Linked DNA regions of Drosophila melanogaster. The protein of the gene in region 1 interacts with the protein of each later gene in a pairwise test. Each region holds a gene or a part of one and is shown in the gene's direction. Other genes may lie near its edges.

Region 1 (7,302 bases):
TATACTCTGGCCGATGTGCCACGACTCGCTGAATATAGTGCCTCCCTGTACGCTTCGAATCCCGCAGAGCACGCTTATTATGTCCAGTACTATACGGAGTACTACACGGCAGATATAAACAAAAATAACAGGGATTCCCATTTGACGGAAGCCAATTCCGGAGCAGCGGTTGCCCTCTCGGCCATCCAGCGCAAGCAGAAGAAGATGAGCAGTATCGAGACCACGATCACAGCGGCGGCCACAGCTGCCGCACAGGCAGCGGCGCAAGTGAAGGCCACATTGGCTGCTCAGGTGGCCAGTGCGCCCAAGGGCAACGATGGAAAGATATACCGTATGTCGCCACTCACTTGAGTATGCTAGCATTTTATTATGTTTCATTATGTTGCAGCCACTCCCGATGTGACGCAGTACCAGTATGATGAGACATCCGGCTACTATTACGACAGTACCACGGGTCTCTACTACAATGCCCACTCGCAGTACTACTATAACAACGAGACGGGCGCGTATCTTTACTGGGATCAGCGCAGGAGCACCTATGTGCTGGCCACGCCCGCCTCCACTCAGGCAGCTCTGCAGGAAGTCCTGGCCGACGCCGAGCAAAAGGGGGAGGAGGAGTCCAAAAAGGCGAAGGAGAAGGAGGGTGGAAACAAGCACGACAAGGTTAAGGTGGCGAAGAAGATCGTCAAGGACATGGAGAAGTGGGCCAAGCAGCTAAACCAGAAAAAGGACTACACAGCTGTGGCCACGCCACAACCAATATTGGCGAACGAGGTAGCCACCACTTCGCGTGGCAATCAAGGGGGATATGCTGATGTGGGATTCTCCATTCTCGAGAAGAAGGAGAGGGGCAAGTTAAACGACTATGCGCCAAACCCGACTGTGGGTCCAATGAACAAGCTTGTCAATGCCTATGGCGGAACATCGGACTCTGAAGAGGACAATGCTGCGAGTTCGCAAAACACACAGAGTTCAGCGGTTGTAAGCGGCGGAGGAGGTGCTGAAGAGTCCGATTACGTGGACTTCCATAAACTGACATGCCTGCTCTGCAAGCGTGCCTTCCAATCGTTGGAAATACTCCAGAAGCACTTGAAGATGTCCACTCTGCACAAGGAGAACCTGGCCAAGCTCAATCAAAACACTAGCAGTAGCATCGAAGAGGCACTAGCGTAAGTGAAATCGCGATGTGTGGTGGAGTATATTATCATTGAATTCATATTCTTTCCCAGCTATCGTGATCGTGCCAAGGAGCGCAGGCTGAAGTACGGCGAGAGCGATCCTCCCCCACCAAATAGGAGCAGGGAGCGATTCGAGCAGGAGATCAAGACACTGCAGTCGCGGCAAAAGCAGTCTACTAGCGCTACTCCAGCCATGCCCATCAGTTCGAGCAACGTGGGCAGTCGACTGCTCCAAAAGATGGGTTGGTCGGAGGGACAGGGACTGGGCAGGAAGAACCAGGGACGCACCCAGATCATAGAGGTAACTGAGCTGACGGCAAGCTATAAAATGAATTAAGAAAATTAAGCATTTTGGGTTCCCTCAGGCGGACGGACGCTCCAATTACGTGGGCTTGGGCAACAAATCGGGACAGATGATACCGGGCAACGACTACAAATCCTATATAAAGAAGATGATGAAGCAGCGCTACGAGAATGCTTGAGAAATTGGTTTTTAGCCGTTTCACATGTTTCATTTCAACTAAAGTCGCCGTTTAATTCAGCTTTTCAACCGAAGCAAAAATTATTTCCATATTATATATGAAGCTTCTTGAGCATTGTTTTCCTAACAGATTGGCGTTTTTTTAAGTCCACGAGCAAGTGTGACCGTTTAGTTAATAGTTTCTGATTAAGCGAATTTAAATCCTTTTTCGAATGTACAAAATAAAATGTAACGGTGTAAAGTTTAAATTTGCTTGGTGTTGGGAAACAACTGTTAGCTGGCACTTGGTAGCCCTGGAGCTATCGGTCAGTTATCGATAACTGGCAGTCAGATACTTCGGGTGAACGGCAAAAAAGAAGACCGAGAATTTTTCTATTCGGGTTTTTTTTTTTGGCCGGATAACTGATTGTTTCTGCCTGAATGCAAAGAGACTTCCAGTTCGGGAACAAGTTTAACCAGCTTCCAATCCTGTTACAGTCGTGGTAACCAAGTAAGATGTGCGCACATAGACGGTTCATCTAATGGCAAAAGGCCAAATCACAAACACTGCATTTAATTACAATCGATTCGCATTAGATATGGATTCTCGATATGGTCACAGCTTCTCGGGCGGCAACGGAAACGGCAGCGAATCGGGCTACAGACGCTACAGTCGCTCCCGATCCCGATCCAGGTAGGTAGTCCTTTGTCCACCTGGAGCCTCTTAGTGGATTACTACCAATTGCGATTATTTCAGGGAACGAAGTCGGGACCGCAATGAGTACAGACGTCGCAACTCCCGTTCGCGCAGTCGGGAGCGGTCCTCACACTATAGAAACGACCGCAGTCCGGATCGCGATCTGTACCGCGACCTGATCAACGAGGATTACGAGGATCAGGGAAACTACAACTCGAGACAGAACCTTGACCAGCGCCACGGCGAGGACAAATACGATCGTCGGCATGCTGATAGCCAGGGTCGCAGGGATCACGATAGCAACTACGACAAGAGTGGCCAGGATATGGATAAGGACCGCGATCACCGCTGGAAAAACTACGATCGCGTTTCGAGAGAGCGCAACCATGATGACTTCGATCGGGGATCGGAGCGCAGCAGGTAAGAAATGATACATATTGCATATTACCCATATCGTGCTCAGTGTTATCACTGAGATTAAGATTAAGCTAAGTTCTATGTTTCCATTCACAAGGCTTCCATAAGAAGGAGGACTCCTCTTTCACTAGTTTAAAAGACCTTTCATTTGCTAATCACTTGTAATAAAAGTCAAAATAATTAGAAATCAACCCATTCAGTAATGTACACTTCCCTTTGTTCGCATAAATGCATACAAATCATCTTATGAAATATTCATGCTGGATGCCTTTAATTACAGTGGATAGTATGCAAACGATGGTTTCAAACGAACCGAACGAAAATTTATTCGACAAAGTGCTCATTGTATGACCTTAAAGAATCGCTTTCCTTTCAGCCGCAGCAATGACCAGCGGCAGTTCAATAATAATGGAAATAGTAACTCCAGCAGCAGTTACAGAGATCGCGAGAAGGAGCGCGATCGAGATAGACGGTGTTCCTCGGACGAGGACAGCGACATGGCCAGCGAATTCAGGCAGAGAGGTGCCTACAACAGTGGCAGCAGCGTTGAGCCCTTGAACAACATAATCCTCTTCGGTCTGAAGAAGCACGTCACGGAAGCAGACGTAATGTTTAAGCGATAAGCAGAACGAATGTAAAATTAACCAAGTAATCCTCCACAGATCATGGGCGAGCTGATCAAGGTCGACCTGGAGCCCACATCCATTCGCGTGATGAGGAAGCAACAAACAGGTGGGTTACATTTCCGTGTGTTACATTCGATTTAAAGTGAAATTGTAGAGAAAGCGTGAGTATTGCGTGCCCAGCAACATGTTCGATGTAGGACTTATAGCAATTTCAATTATACTTGGCTTCGACATCAGCAAAAACATATAGAAAACTACAAACCGAAACAAAAACACAATCCCCAAAAATGACACAATGCTAATGATACAACCAACATTTTTTGACCAAACATTTTCGTATCTACTTCTATCTAAAATTTAGGTGCCTCACGCTGTTTTGCATTTGTCGAGTTTAAAACCGTTGAGGAGGCGACTCGTTGGATGGAGTTAACCCAGGTATCCCTAAAAACCACAAGAATCTTGAATCTTCTCGTATCCGCCAAAATAGAAATGACGGCAAGATCCGATAGCTTGGCATCAACTGTTGAAAAATGTGTGCCTTGAGTTCAATTCTGCTGGTGGGCTGCCTGTCCCTTCCATTTTTCTGTCTTAGATCAGGGAACTGAACTCAAAGGCGGAATCGAATCTTACGTAAAGGAAGCAACCAGCATCTGCGTGATGTCGAAAAACACAGATGCAATCTTGGTGACTGTGTAGTCTGTGAACGATTTGCCTGATCAGCAGTTTCAGTTACTAATTCCAATTTTACCTCTTCTATTTTTCCGTTCAGGGAGTCCTCCAACTGGGCGATCATCGTGTCACCATGCAGTATAGTCACACTCGCATCTCAGACTGGACTTGCATTAAGGTATGCTCCGTTAAGATACAGATTGGCAACAATAATTAGCTTTTTTCGCCATCCTTCAGTGTGGTGCCAGCAACTTTAAGCGCCGCTTCCAATGCTACATGTGCAATGCGTCGCGGGCGGAGAGCGAGAATGCTCTTTACGGAGCCGGCGAGGGCGTCGACGAGATCAGCCAAATCCTCACAAAAAGTATATCCACCATGAGCAATATCTTTCAATGCCGTTTCCTAGCTAATCAGCTAAATACCCCACTAACCTGCCACGCTTTCCCCATGCAGAGATCATGCTTCGCGGCTTGGACGCGCTGACAAACGAGGAGGGCGTGCTAACTGCCCTTCAGCAGCGCCTGCCCGAACTGGCCAAAACAGTCAGCAAGGTGCTGGTCAGTCGCGACGCCCTAACCAATGCATCTCGGGGCATTTGCTACCTCAATTTTGACACACTCATTGATTCTATGAACGTGTTCAACGGGCTGACGGCGTTGGATCCGCCACTCACTCTGGACGACAAAACAGGTAAATTATTACTTCTTAATTATTTCATAATTAAAAAACAAAACTTTAATCCATGCCCTTCAGTTATCGTCACCTACTGCATTGACTCCGAAAACCGTCAAATGATGCCAGCCGAAGGCAACTTTTTTAGAGCAGGTGAAACAGCGATGTCTCCGTCGGCCATTACGGCGGCCTACACTTTGGCGGATGTGCCTCGTCTTGCGGAGTACAGTGCATCCGTGTATGCCTCGAATCCGTTGGAGCATGCTAACTACGTCCAGTACTATACGGATTATTACACGACTGAAATAAGCAAGAACTGCAGAGATCGTCAAGTGACGGAGGCCAACTCCGGCGCTGCCGTTGCTCTCTCGGCCATCCAGCGCAAGCAACGGAAGGTCAGCCAGATGGAGACCACGGTTTCGGTGACAGAGGCGAAGGTCGCCTTCCTTGCCAGGGGTGAAAGTGCTCCCAAGGGGAATGATGGCAAGAAATACGGTAAGTGAGCGCACACTATTCTATCTATGCGCTCCTGTAATGTCGAATATTTCATGCTCAATGGTTAGATACTCCCGATGTGTCCAAGTACCAGTACGACGAGACCTCCGGCTACTACTACGACCACGTTACAGGACTCTACTATGATGCCCACTCGCAGTACTACTACAACAACGAGACGGGCGCGTATTTGTACTGGGATCAGAAGCGGAGCACCTATGTGCTGGCCACACCCGCTTCCACTCAGGCAGCCCTCAAGGAAGTATTAGCCGATGCCGAGAAAAAGGAGGAGGAGGCCAAAAAGGCAAAGGAGAAGGAAAAAGAAAAGGAGGAAGCTGGGGGGAAGCCCGACAAGGTGAAGGTGGCCAAGAAGATCGTCAAGGACATGGAGAAGTGGGCCAAGCAGCTAAACCAAAAAAAGGACTACACAGCAGTGGCAACGCCGCAGCCTATCCTGTCGGATACTGAGGCGGCCACCACCTCCCGTGCTTCCCAAGGGGCATATGCTGATGTGGGATTCTCAATCCTTGAGAAGAAGGAGCTTGGCAAGCTCAACGACTATGTACCGGAGGCAGGACCTCCAGCGATAAGCAAATTGGTTGGTGCTTATGGAGGACCTTCTGACTCGGAAGATGATAATAGTGCCAATCAGAAAGCACTTGAAGCTAGCGTTGGGACTAAACGAGCCATTAGCGATGAATCTGACTACGTGGACTTCCAAAAACTTACTTGCCTGCTCTGCATGCGTGCCTTCCAATCGCTGGACATCTTGCAGAAGCATTTGAAAATGTCGAATCTACACAAGGAGAATCTGGACAAGCTTAAACGGAATCCCGCAGTTGAGGCTGGCACGGATGAGGGTCTATCGTAAGTGGGAATATGCTGCTAGAATGGAGATAAACTCACTAATTTACTTACCCGTACTTAGCTATCGTGATCGTGCCAAGGAACGCAGGCTGAAGTACGGTGAGAGCGATCCTCCTCCACCAAATAGGAGCCGGGAGCGTTTCGAGCAAGAGATAAAGACTTTGCAGTCGCGCCAGAAGGATTCTTTTGGCGCCACTGCAGCCATGCCCATCAGTTCGACCAACGTGGGCAGCCGCCTGATGCAGAAGATGGGCTGGTCGGAGGGCCAGGGACTGGGCAAAAAGAACCAGGGACGCACCGAGATCATAGAGGTAGGAGTCGACGAGGGCGACGAATGGCAAAATATGGATAATTCAATGTCAATGTGTATCCACAGGCTGATGGTCGTTCTAACAACGTGGGGCTGGGCAACAACACTGGCCATATGGCGCCTGGGAACGACTACAAATCCTACATCAAAAAGATGATGAAGCAGCGTTATGAGAACGCCTGAGACTCTTCTTAAAGTGTATGATTTTATTCCGCTTGAATATAGGGGCATTTAAGCATTGTTGTTTACCTCGATTACACTTCCTCCACCTTGTCGCGTTCATTTAGCATTAGTTGCGAAGTTCAAATTGTAAATAGTTCGTAAATACAGTCTCAAATTAGGTTTAAATTTAAATTGTAAATGCTTTAAGTATGGAATTGTGCAAGGGAATCTAAATCTCGTCCATGTAGCCATGCTCATAGGCGTGACGAACGGTCTTGAAGATCTCCTGGTTCGCCTCATCGCCAGCGATGTCCAAGGACAACTGGTGGAAGGCGGGGCCGTGCATATCCGTCTCGAAGAGGCGGGACAACTCGGCGCAATCCTTCTCGGTGCCGAGCAGCCAGGGAAGGAAGTGCATGCATACCATTGGTCCGTAGAAGGCATATCGTTTGAAGTGGGCATTGAAGCGTTCGAAGCTGTATTCCTGTAGCAACTGGTCCACCCGATCGTCGGTCAACTCGTTCCGGTTTCGGCGCAGAACCAGTTCCAACATTTCGATCATGCTTCGATGGTACTTGCGCAACAAGTCGGCGTAGATCTCCTTCCTTCCTTCGGATGGCGTGTTCATGTACATAAAGAAGCTCAGGTCAATGGCCGTAGTGCTGAAGCGCAGCTCCTGGAAATCGATGGCTTTGATAGCGTCCACCTTATCTTCAGCGCCGTAGTGGAACAGCACGTTGTTCCTGTTG
Region 2 (3,478 bases), on another chromosome or scaffold:
CCGAAAACAGTGGAGTTTCTTGATTTCCATATTCCGAAGAGCACTTGAAAAATCCAACAAAAACAAACAATCGAATCACAATGACCGAGGAAAGCAAGAAGATCGTACAGCTGGACGACGTGCAGCGCCAGTTGCTGGATCATCTGGCCAAGAATGACACCAGTGGATTCAAGCAGCTGCTGAGCGGAGTGAGGAATGTTAATTTCGTGGACGACACCGGGATGTCGTGTTTGGCCCACGCCAGCTTCAAGGGAAACCGCGAGGCGGTGCAGCTGCTCCTGGACATGGTGGGTACATCTGCCAGGCAACCACCGCTTGGGCTCTAAACATGAAATAACCGCCTTTTCTTCCACAGGGTGCCGACATAAACCTCAATCAGCATGGAGCTGATTATACGCCACTGCATTTCGCCGCTCTATCGGGCAATACACATGTGTGCCGGCTTCTTTTGGATGCTGGCATCAAGCCGGGTAGCATCAATAGTGTCAACAGGACCGCCGCCCAAATGGCCGCCTTTGTGGGCAACCACGCCTGCGTGGAGACCATCAACAACTATGTGACCCAGTCGAGTTTGGAGTACTACACCCAAGTGCATGGCCAGCAGACGGAGCCGCATATACCACCCAGCTTACTCAAATCGTTCCACGCCTTTGTCACCGAAATCAACCTGCATCCCGTGAGGATTGCCCTGAATGTGCAGTCCTTGGGATTGCTTAGGATCCTGTCCAGTCTGCGCAAGACGCTGGCTTTGATGTGCGAAAAGGAGATGCAGAAGTCGCATGACCTCAACGAGCTGCTGGCCTTCAAGTTCCATTATCAGGGCTGGATTTTGGCCGAACTAATACGCTGCGAGGAGCAATTCAAGGCGCAGCACAAGGAGAAAAGTGGCGAGGAGGCGGGCGATGCGAACAAGAACGATTTCATCGAGATGTTTGTGAAGCGGGTGCTCAAGGAGAACAAGCTGGGCCAGCTGGACTATGTGGAATACACGTTGCGCGAATGTGCCAGGGAGTTTCCCGTGAGAGAGTGCACCATCTTCCGGCAAATCGCAACGCAATTTGGCGCCAAGGATGCCCCACCAGCACTGACTGTCCTGCGAAATGCCATCAATGGGATGAGGTGGATTACGGTGGGTATCATGATCTCATAATCAAATGATTCTTTTCTAATCTGGAAAACTAATTTTCAGGACGAGGGCAACTACTGCAGCACCTGCGGCGCCGAGAAACCGGACAAGAAGTGCTCCAAGTGCAAGGCGGTGCAGTATTGCGATCGCGAATGCCAGCGGCTGCATTGGTTCATGCACAAGAAGAACTGTGCCCGCCTCCTGGCCCAATCCCAAGCCCAAGCCCAAGCCCAGCCGCAATCGCAAGCGAAGGGAGCCATTGACACGGCCGAGCTGCGCGAGGAACTGTCCAAACTGACTGCGTAATCCTGTGCTCCTTTGTAACGCCAATAAATGTAACATAAAACCAGAAACCTAGCATTTTCGCGTACTAAAAGATTGTTAGTACCAAACTGTCAGATGTCTACACAAATTAAACTAGATAATAGTAACGAAAGGCAAAATTGCACGCTACAAATTCAATTAAAGTCAAAACATACAACAAACTGCCCAAAAATCGTATATCTATCGTAAAATAATAAAGAGTAATAATGGAACAAAAAAAAAATAGAAAAATAACTCCTTTTGAAGGTTATTAAAATTATGGTTATTTTACGTTTTAAATCGAACATTTCAAAAATGAAGTTTTTAAAATAGCAGTATTTCGAACACAAAACTAACAGCATTCATTTTCGAATGTTAAGTTAACAGCACTAGCGGCATTCGCCTGAGTGTCTGTTATCGATTTCGAAAATTCGAAAACGAACAGCTGATGCCAGTTGAATTTTTCTTGTTTAATCTATTTGTTGCTCGTTGCTCGTGAAAACCCGTTTAAAACAGTCCAAAATGGTGCAGGTTTGGTATATGGATACGGAGGAAACCGATCAGCGCCTGGAGCACCACCGCAATCCGCCTGCCTACTTGGAACTGGATGATCTGTACCAGAAGACCGGCGTGGAATACTTTAAGGCAAGTGAAAAGCGAAATTGCGACTTTAAAAACCTTAAGTGACCTTGGGGGCGAGCTTATCTTGATCATTCACATTTGCAGATCAATGCGGACGAGTACCAGAGCGATAATACCCTCACGGAACTGAGGGCAAAACGTGGCTACACCTACGATGATGAGGCAAGATCGATGTTTTCTTGAAAAACATCTACCGAACTTTGGTAAACTTCGAATTATTACAGATCACATGCTCGGAAAAGTGCCTTCCAGACTATGCCAACAAGTTGAAAGCCTTTTTCACCGAACACCTGCACACGGATGAGGAAATTCGCCTGATATTGGAGGGATCCGGTTACTTTGATGTTCGCGAGTAAGTTTTGTTTATTTACACCGCATTTTATAGTATCCCAGCCACATTTTCCCAATTAAATAGTTCAAGCATTCATATTCTTACTGATATTGTTTTTGCTCACACTAATAACATTTTTGGAATTGTTTTAAAACGGAAAACTATTTATTCTTTATAGCAATGAGGACAACTGGTTGCGCATTAAGGTTGTCAAGGGAGATCTGATCATTATACCAGCTGGCATATATCACCGCTTTACTTTGGATACCAATGTAAGTTATTTTGACAATCTTATATACAAACTTAAACTATTTGTATTGTTTTTTCTTAGAACTTTATCAGAACTCGTCGCTATTTTGTGGGCGAACCTGTCTGGGCTCCACACAATCGTCCTGCTGATGAAATGGACTGTCGCAAATCGTACATCAAGCATCAGTCGGAAAACTTTGTGCAATTCAATAAGGTTTAAAAACCTTAAATCTTATCTTTTACCATCAAGTTTGATATTTTGAAATATAAAATCGCTGTGTATAATCAATAGTTTCAATAGTTTTTTGTTTAACTTACAATTTTCGCTGATTAACGTAGTTTTGATATAGAATTCGAAGTCTATTTTCTATATCAATAAACCCCGCCAAAAACTTGATTTCGAATTTTATCTCTTAGTTGGTTGCTGCATATGCTAAACGTACTTTCGAACTCGAATCTCAGAGAGTACAATTCGCGGTATGACCGTACCAGCGCCGAAGAGAAAAAACAGCGCAAGTATATAATCCCAAGCGCCAGCGAAAGTATCGAGCCAACATCGATGCGCGTGCCATCGCTAGGAAGGAAAACAAAACAAACACTTTTTTACTTTTTCATCTCTCGGATCGTTCGGACGTGCTACGCGGTCTCGTCTGTGTGTGTGAGGTAGTGTGCGTGAGCGGAGCGGCGAAAAAGCACAATTGAAATTAAATCGAGTCGTTATCTGTGGATTCGGCGGATACAATACAATATCGTATCGTTATCTATTTACAAACAAATCGACGTGGATTAATAAAATGCCGCACACGAATGCTTAAAGCGGCCTATCT
Region 3 (3,189 bases), on another chromosome or scaffold:
AACATTTAAAATATGTAGCAACCCATATCAGAATGCAAGTACTCGCTGATTACTTATTTCAAATTGATTCAAAATCTGCTCAGAATTTTTATGAATTTATGACTGTTTTTCTGTGTGCTAAGCTTTTGTGCCCCAGGTTCCGTCGGAAGTTTGGTCATACCTTTAACACCGTAACAATGAAAACCCAAGTGACGACGTTGATGAAAAACGGCTCAGTAGGGCCCCATATAGGCATAATAGTTCCGAAACAAAGTTGGCGATGTTGACGCTGCTCCTCTGTCAACTTCGGCGCACTATTGTGGCGCTAATCATTCATATAAACATGGCTGCGGAGAGCGCTACAGATACAGATACATTTACCGATACAAAGAATGCCGTGGGGCTAGCGGTGTTATATCGATTTAAATGATAATAATTGGCCTCTAGAGCGCCATGGACAGTATCGATCTGTTTTAGAATTTTGACTATAAATAAACCGACGTGGATGCAAACGCTCAATCATTTGTGGTTTAAGAGCTCAAGGTGTTAGACATATCATAAAGGAGATGGTGAGTGTGGTCAGTTGTAGATATGAGAAGCAATCTGAACTTCACGATTTCTTTCCTATTTCAGAAGCTATTCATTTTGGCTACCTGTCTGCTGGCTTTTGCAGCCGGTGATGTTTCGCATTTGCCGCTGGAACTCCTGGAGGAGCATCATGAGCATGGCTATGGCTATGACTACCCCAAGCCGGAGATACCATTTGTGATTACCTCGACGACGGAGCCACCACCGCCACCACCGACTTATCTGCCACCCAAACCAGTACCCACTTACCTACCTCCTCCTCCGCCCACAACCACAACTACCACCACAACCACTCCGGCTCCTACTCCCGCTCCTACCTACCTTCCTCCCCCTCCACCTACTACCACTACCACGACAACCACTCCCGCTCCCACTCCTGCTCCCACTTACCTTCCTCCCCCACCTCCACCACCGCGTACCACTACCACCACCACCACTACAACCACAACGACACCTGCACCCACGCCAGTGCCCACGTACCTTCCACCCCCACCACCACAACCGGAACCGGGTTACCACTACGATGTGCCCGCCCAAGAGTTCACCTTCTGAGCAAAATCGCGATCGAACTGAACATGGAAGATTTCCCCGGATTAGTTTTGTTTTAAATCGTTCCACTAGGCTTAGGTTTATATAAGGTTAAAGCCATCTCAATAAACGCTGTTTTGTTAACCCCATTAGCATCGGTATCTCCCAAATATTTATTGGGATGGGACAAAAGTGGTACAGATGGCCGAGTCAATCACCGTCAATTGTCTGGGATTTCGTCGCATCCGCTGCATATTCATGAGCTGCTTTGTTGTGCAGAGCTAATTTGGTCGAAATCGCATTAATTGTTTTGGGGTAGAGGGAGATAACACACGCCGATAATTGGCCGACCTCAAGTTCATGAAAACCAAGAAAAGTGTGAAGAAAACCAAATAGCCAGCCGGTCGAGGAAGGCGCGATCTTTGTATAAAAGCGGTGACCATCGACGTTATTGACATTACTACCTGCTGTCATCAAACGGCAGCAACATCATCTCGATCGGTGGATTATCTCTTAAAGGAAATGGTAAACAGTAGCGGCATATTCTCTAATAAAGATGACCTAACAGGAGGTTGGTTATTTTACAGAAACCCATGCTGATCCTTTTGGCTCTGGCAGGCTTTGCCATCTGTATTCGGGCAGACGTGTCCCACCTGTACGGAGGAGGTTACCACGATCACGGCCATGATCACCATCACCACCATGATCACGATCACGATCATGATCACCACCACTATGATGTCCATTCCCACCACCATTCTCCCTCGTCACACGATCATCATGATCTGCACATTGATCTGCACTATCAGCCGGATCACCACCATCATCATCATCAAGAGGCCAAGTTCGATATCCCTAGCGGATATAGCTATGGACCTCCAGAGAAACCTCGCCAGAAGTACCTGCCGCCCAAGGTTTCCCTGCCACCGCCACCACCTCCACCGCCCAAGGCAACTTATCTGCCTCCCTCAAAGCCTGAAGTGAAGTACCTGCCCCCCGAACCGGTGGCCAAGTATCTGCCACCCAAGGTCGCTCCCAGCCTGCCTCCTCCACCACCACCTCCAGTTGTGGCGCCCAAGCCCACATATCTGCCTCCCAGTCCGCCAGAGTCCAAGTACCTTCCTCCTCCGACGCCCGAGGTGAAGTATCTGCCACCTGCTCCAGTGGCAAGGTATCTGCCACCCAAGGTTGCACCCAGTCTGCCACCACCACCTCCACCCCCACCAGTGGCTCCCAAGAAGCTGTATCTTCCTCCTGCCGAGCCGGAGACTAAGTACCTGCCACCTTCCGAGCCCGTCGAGAAGTATCTGCCTCCTAAGCCCGAACAAAAATATCTGCCACCCCAGCCTGAGGTAGATTTCCACATACCGATTCCATCCTATGCACTGCCCTTGGGCCCTGCACCAAGTCCAATCCACGACGCCGAGCCTGGTTACCACTACAAGCCTCCACTTCGCCGTTTCAGGCATTAGGATAATCAACCACCGAAAAAAAACCAAACCACAAGCACTGCATCTAGTTTTAAGCTGTACACATTAAAAGCATTTTTAACAAAAAATAAAATGGAGTATTACACCACTCGCACTCTTTCCCCATCCTCAAGGTCAAAGATATCAAACCCAAATTGCTGTCACCCAGCCCCCAAGGGATCCATGTGGATTTCAATCTGACCTCCAAATCTAATTGCGGCCAATCAACCGAAATAGCCAAACGGCTTCGGTTTTAGCTTTAGTTCAGCTCGATCATCACCTGCAGTGTCGATAATTACTGTCTTTTTGGATGAAAAATGATGTGAGTTTTGGTTTGAATATATTTATAGGGATTGATCGGTGTCGGTTACAGAAAGGTTCAAACCGAACCAAAATCGCTAATCGCCAATTGCAGCCATCGGCAATGGGACGACAGTTGACCTCTTTCAATGTTGCCCAGAGATGGGGCAAGTCTTTTAAAGGTGCCATGAAAAGATTAGACAGAAATAAATAATTAAGCCCCTAACGAATTGAGTATGCTCTTTTGAAAAGGGTTAAAGTTTAAATGTTTAAACATTAGGTTACTTTAATAGCACACTTGATTTGTCTTTCATTTTGTCTTTAA
Region 4 (3,497 bases), on another chromosome or scaffold:
AGTATTGTAATATAGTCTCGGAATATATCCAGAAGACATTTAGGGAATGCTTACAGAAGCTTTTCACGGAGTTCCTACAGCACGGGAAGTATGAAAGAGCCCGGCAAAAAGGAACACCAAATTTCCTCCTCATGAAACCACTTCCACTCGAAAAAGAGTATCGAAAGTGTTCCGGAATAATTCCACTACCGTCTCGGTGCTTCTCTACTTTTTTCGTTGGTACAATACAATAGAAAGAATGTAACCAAAGCAACAAGAATTACGGCCAATTTTTTACGTTAAATCAAAAACTTTTTAAAGTTGTTGTTGGTGTTAGAATAAAATAGATAAGTTATTCAAATTGGTTCGGATTTTCTTTAATTATATATATGTAGGACAGAAAGTGGAAAGTCTGGGAATTTTAGTAGCACTTTTTTTTAGTTAGTCTCATTTTTTGTTGATTAGCTTACAGCTCCAAAACACATTTTATTCGAGGACCGTGTATAAACTCTAGTTCCCGTGACTATATATGATTAAACATTATAAAATGTACCACAGTGAAACTGATTGTTGGATTACATATATGTATTACATTAGTATATATGAATATGCATGGATGAGAAAATCTTGTGTATGTGTTGTATCCAAGAGATACACATTCTGTAATGAACTTGGATTGCCTAACTGAACGAATAGCGAACCTATCCGAAGGGAATCATGCGTAACCTAAATACTTTGATTATAACTTTTACATATGCATAGATTTAAATCGACTCAAATATGAAATAGTACAAGTTAATTAGACGGGGCACATTAACAAAATCTCAGAAAATAATTTTTTTTGTTTCATTACATAGTTTCTTACTTTTGTCAGCAAAATAATTACTTGTGACGTTTGAAAAACTAGTTGTAAGTTTAAATACAGAAGTCAATACACTGGAAACGTTTATCCGACATTTTCAGATCCTTGTGTGGAAGTGGTTAATACTTGAAAAGTGATTAAAAAAAACAACATATAAGGCCCTGTGGAGACTATGCTCTAACATTTTAATCGAATTTTAAGTGATACCATGGTTTGTTTAAAAGGAAAGTTAAGGGGTGCTTACGCTGTTTTGATTTACAAATGACTGGAATTTTTGGGTAGGATATTTTCATATATAGATATTTTGATTCCTTGATATCCCAAGACTCAACATTTTTTTTTTATTTTTGATCAGAGGCAGAATATTTATGTTGTTAACTATTGCAAATCGCAACCAAAATATAGTGATTGTCATTTATCTTGGCCTGATATCGACATATTGGCAATAGCAGACCTTTGATTAATAAAAATGTCTTAATTTTTGGTTAATAGAGAGGAAGAACCTAAGTTTTTTGTTTTCAGGCAGCTTTATAGTGTTTGAAAAATTTGTAACATCGTTTTTAAATTTGATTTTTAAATTTGATTTGAAAAAGTTGTTTTGGCAATTAGAATTCGCGAATAATACCATAGTCCTACAGAGCACATTCGTAAAAAACAGTTGTGATTTTTAAAAATTGTGTAACTCCGAGTCTAAGTTATATGCTCACTAACCCCTTGGGGGCAGCCTTTCTAGGTCAATTTAAATATTTCACTTAAAAAATGTACACGAAAATGGTTTTATCGACATTCGACTTAATGGCGCAGTCAAAACATTGTATTATCGATGTAGTTTTGTGTTTCTTTTTATTGTTTTCATCAGACCATGCTTAGGGTATAGTCAACATACTGTTATTAGTATTTTATAGAAAACAGTATTTTTAACCATCGTTTAACTTTTCTGAAAAGTACAGCATTATTAATCGAATGACTAGTTTACACGTCAATTTACTGAAGTTACTGAAGACAAGCTTTTTCCTATACGAAATAAAATAGTTTCTTATTAAACATGGGACTAACAATATCTAGTCTTTTGACACGTTTGTTTGGAAAAAAACAAATGCGTATTCTTATGGGTATGTTCAAAATACGATACACTAAATATAAGCCTTTAGTTCGCGCATAATTTTTAAGTACTTGCAATCAACGTGCACATAATTTTAAATATTTTTGTACGCAGTTGGCTTGGATGCTGCTGGAAAAACGACTATTCTGTACAAATTAAAGCTGGGTGAAATTGTAACCACCATACCAACCATAGGCTTCAATGTCGAGACTGTGGAATATAAGAATATATGTTTTACCGTTTGGGATGTTGGTGGCCAAGACAAAATTCGCCCGTTGTGGCGACACTATTTCCAAAATACACAGGGTCTTATATTTGTAGTGGATTCCAACGACCGCGATCGTATAACTGAAGCTGAAAGAGAACTACAGAACATGGTACTCATTTTATTTAATTAAAAGTATATACATACGTGTCAACCAATTCCATGTTTATTTTTCCCACAGCTCCAGGAGGATGAACTTAGGGACGCGGTACTTTTGGTTTTTGCCAACAAACAGGACCTACCGAATGCAATGACAGCTGCCGAGCTTACGGACAAGTTGCGCCTTAACCAATTAAGGAATCGCCACGTATGTCTTAGGGGTAATTGTCCCAAAAATGTTTACTTATATCTACCCATTTTTAGTGGTTTATTCAGTCTACATGTGCTACCCAAGGGCACGGTCTTTATGAAGGACTTGATTGGCTATCAGCTGAATTGGCTAAAAAATAAAAATATTCCTTATATTGTAAGATAGGAATTGCTGTTCTCGTATGCTGAAAACTAGATTTTAAATAAACTTGTAAATGTATATAAACTCGTTTGGAACTTTGTTGTAAATTTAAAATGTCCACGTTTTATGTGTTGGTGAGAAAACTGCACTTGCCTTAGTTGTATTTTTAAAAATTAGTGATCGGATAACTAATAAAAATATATTTTTAACTTACTTATTCGGGAAAATATATGTTCGTTTTTTTATTAGTATGCCTCAATACCATTACCAGAATTCAATCAAATAAACATATTTTTGATTCGTACTCATTTATGTTAATTCAGTTTTTAATAGCCACCAGATTTGTTGAAAACTACGTAACTGTTAGCAGAAGCGTTTCCGACCTTAGAAAGAATATATATTCCTGATCAGGACCAATATCCGAGTTGATCTGGGCATGTCCGTATGAACGCCTCGGTCTCAGGAACTATTAAAGGTAGGGAATTGAGATTAGACATGCAGATTCTATGTCCGTATGAAGAGAACTATTAAAGGTAGAGAATTGAGATTAGACATGCAGCTTCCAGAGGTATTTACGGAGAGAAAACTTTTGATATTTTAAAATATTTTTATTAGTCTTGTAACCCAAAATCCCCAAAACCCCCCACCCAAAATCGCTCAAACATGCCGAACATTCTTAAAAAATTGGTTATTCTTATTGAAATCTTTCACACTTCCTGCTGAGTAAATGGTATCTGATTCTCGTGGAATTCGAGAAAGAATTCGACAAAATATAAAACTATGAAAAAATATCGAAAGTTTTTTAAAAATGTGGTCGAGGCCGTTTTGGGTGGTTTTA

Evidence for each region.
Region 2: the proteins of CG4896 (region 1) and Adi1 interact in a two-hybrid assay, tested with the Drosophila melanogaster proteins (one large-scale study listed by BioGRID).
Region 3: the proteins of CG4896 (region 1) and CG15022 interact in a two-hybrid assay, tested with the Drosophila melanogaster proteins (one large-scale study listed by BioGRID).
Region 4: the proteins of CG4896 (region 1) and Arf4 interact in a two-hybrid assay, tested with the Drosophila melanogaster proteins (one large-scale study listed by BioGRID).

The regions. Positions count from the first base shown.
Region 1 is NT_033779.5:1,175,713-1,183,014, forward strand, and holds CG4896 (uncharacterized protein), read left to right. Parts: upstream 1-1,977; 5' UTR 1,978-2,149; exon of another isoform or gene 2,150-2,235; 5' UTR 2,236-2,237; coding exon 2,238-2,332; intron 2,333-2,395; coding exon 2,396-2,755; intron 2,756-3,128; coding exon 3,129-3,357; intron 3,358-3,414; coding exon 3,415-3,484; coding exon of another isoform or gene 3,485-3,519; exon of another isoform or gene 3,520-3,739; coding exon 3,740-3,813; exon of another isoform or gene 3,814-4,147; coding exon 4,148-4,225; intron 4,226-4,284; coding exon 4,285-4,411; exon of another isoform or gene 4,412-4,500; coding exon 4,501-4,737; intron 4,738-4,800; coding exon 4,801-5,214; intron 5,215-5,282; coding exon 5,283-6,081; intron 6,082-6,142; coding exon 6,143-6,392; intron 6,393-6,457; coding exon 6,458-6,574; 3' UTR 6,575-6,742; downstream 6,743-7,302. Other genes in the region: CG4887 (uncharacterized protein), read left to right, coding at 1-331, 389-1,169, 1,230-1,479, 1,544-1,660; CG5126 (uncharacterized protein), read right to left, coding at 6,783-7,302.
Region 2 is NT_037436.4:10,661,495-10,664,972, forward strand, and holds Adi1 (acireductone dioxygenase 1), read left to right. Parts: upstream 1-1,881; 5' UTR 1,882-1,951; coding exon 1,952-2,074; intron 2,075-2,155; coding exon 2,156-2,233; intron 2,234-2,295; coding exon 2,296-2,423; intron 2,424-2,580; coding exon 2,581-2,674; intron 2,675-2,733; coding exon 2,734-2,871; 3' UTR 2,872-2,941; downstream 2,942-3,478. Other genes in the region: CG8003 (uncharacterized protein), read left to right, coding at 81-287, 356-1,129, 1,190-1,432. UniProt on the Drosophila melanogaster protein: Catalyzes 2 different reactions between oxygen and the acireductone 1,2-dihydroxy-3-keto-5-methylthiopentene (DHK-MTPene) depending upon the metal bound in the active site.
Region 3 is NT_037436.4:4,458,676-4,461,864, reverse strand, and holds CG15022 (uncharacterized protein), read left to right. Parts: upstream 1-1,547; 5' UTR 1,548-1,617; coding exon 1,618-1,620; intron 1,621-1,682; coding exon 1,683-2,567; 3' UTR 2,568-2,672; downstream 2,673-3,189. Other genes in the region: CG15023 (uncharacterized protein), read left to right, coding at 546-548, 613-1,119.
Region 4 is NC_004353.4:1,122,379-1,125,875, forward strand, and holds Arf4 (ADP ribosylation factor 4), read left to right. Parts: upstream 1-1,788; 5' UTR 1,789-1,886; coding exon 1,887-1,953; intron 1,954-2,057; coding exon 2,058-2,320; intron 2,321-2,389; coding exon 2,390-2,515; intron 2,516-2,571; coding exon 2,572-2,658; 3' UTR 2,659-2,947; downstream 2,948-3,497. UniProt on the Drosophila melanogaster protein: GTP-binding protein involved in protein trafficking; may modulate vesicle budding and uncoating within the Golgi apparatus.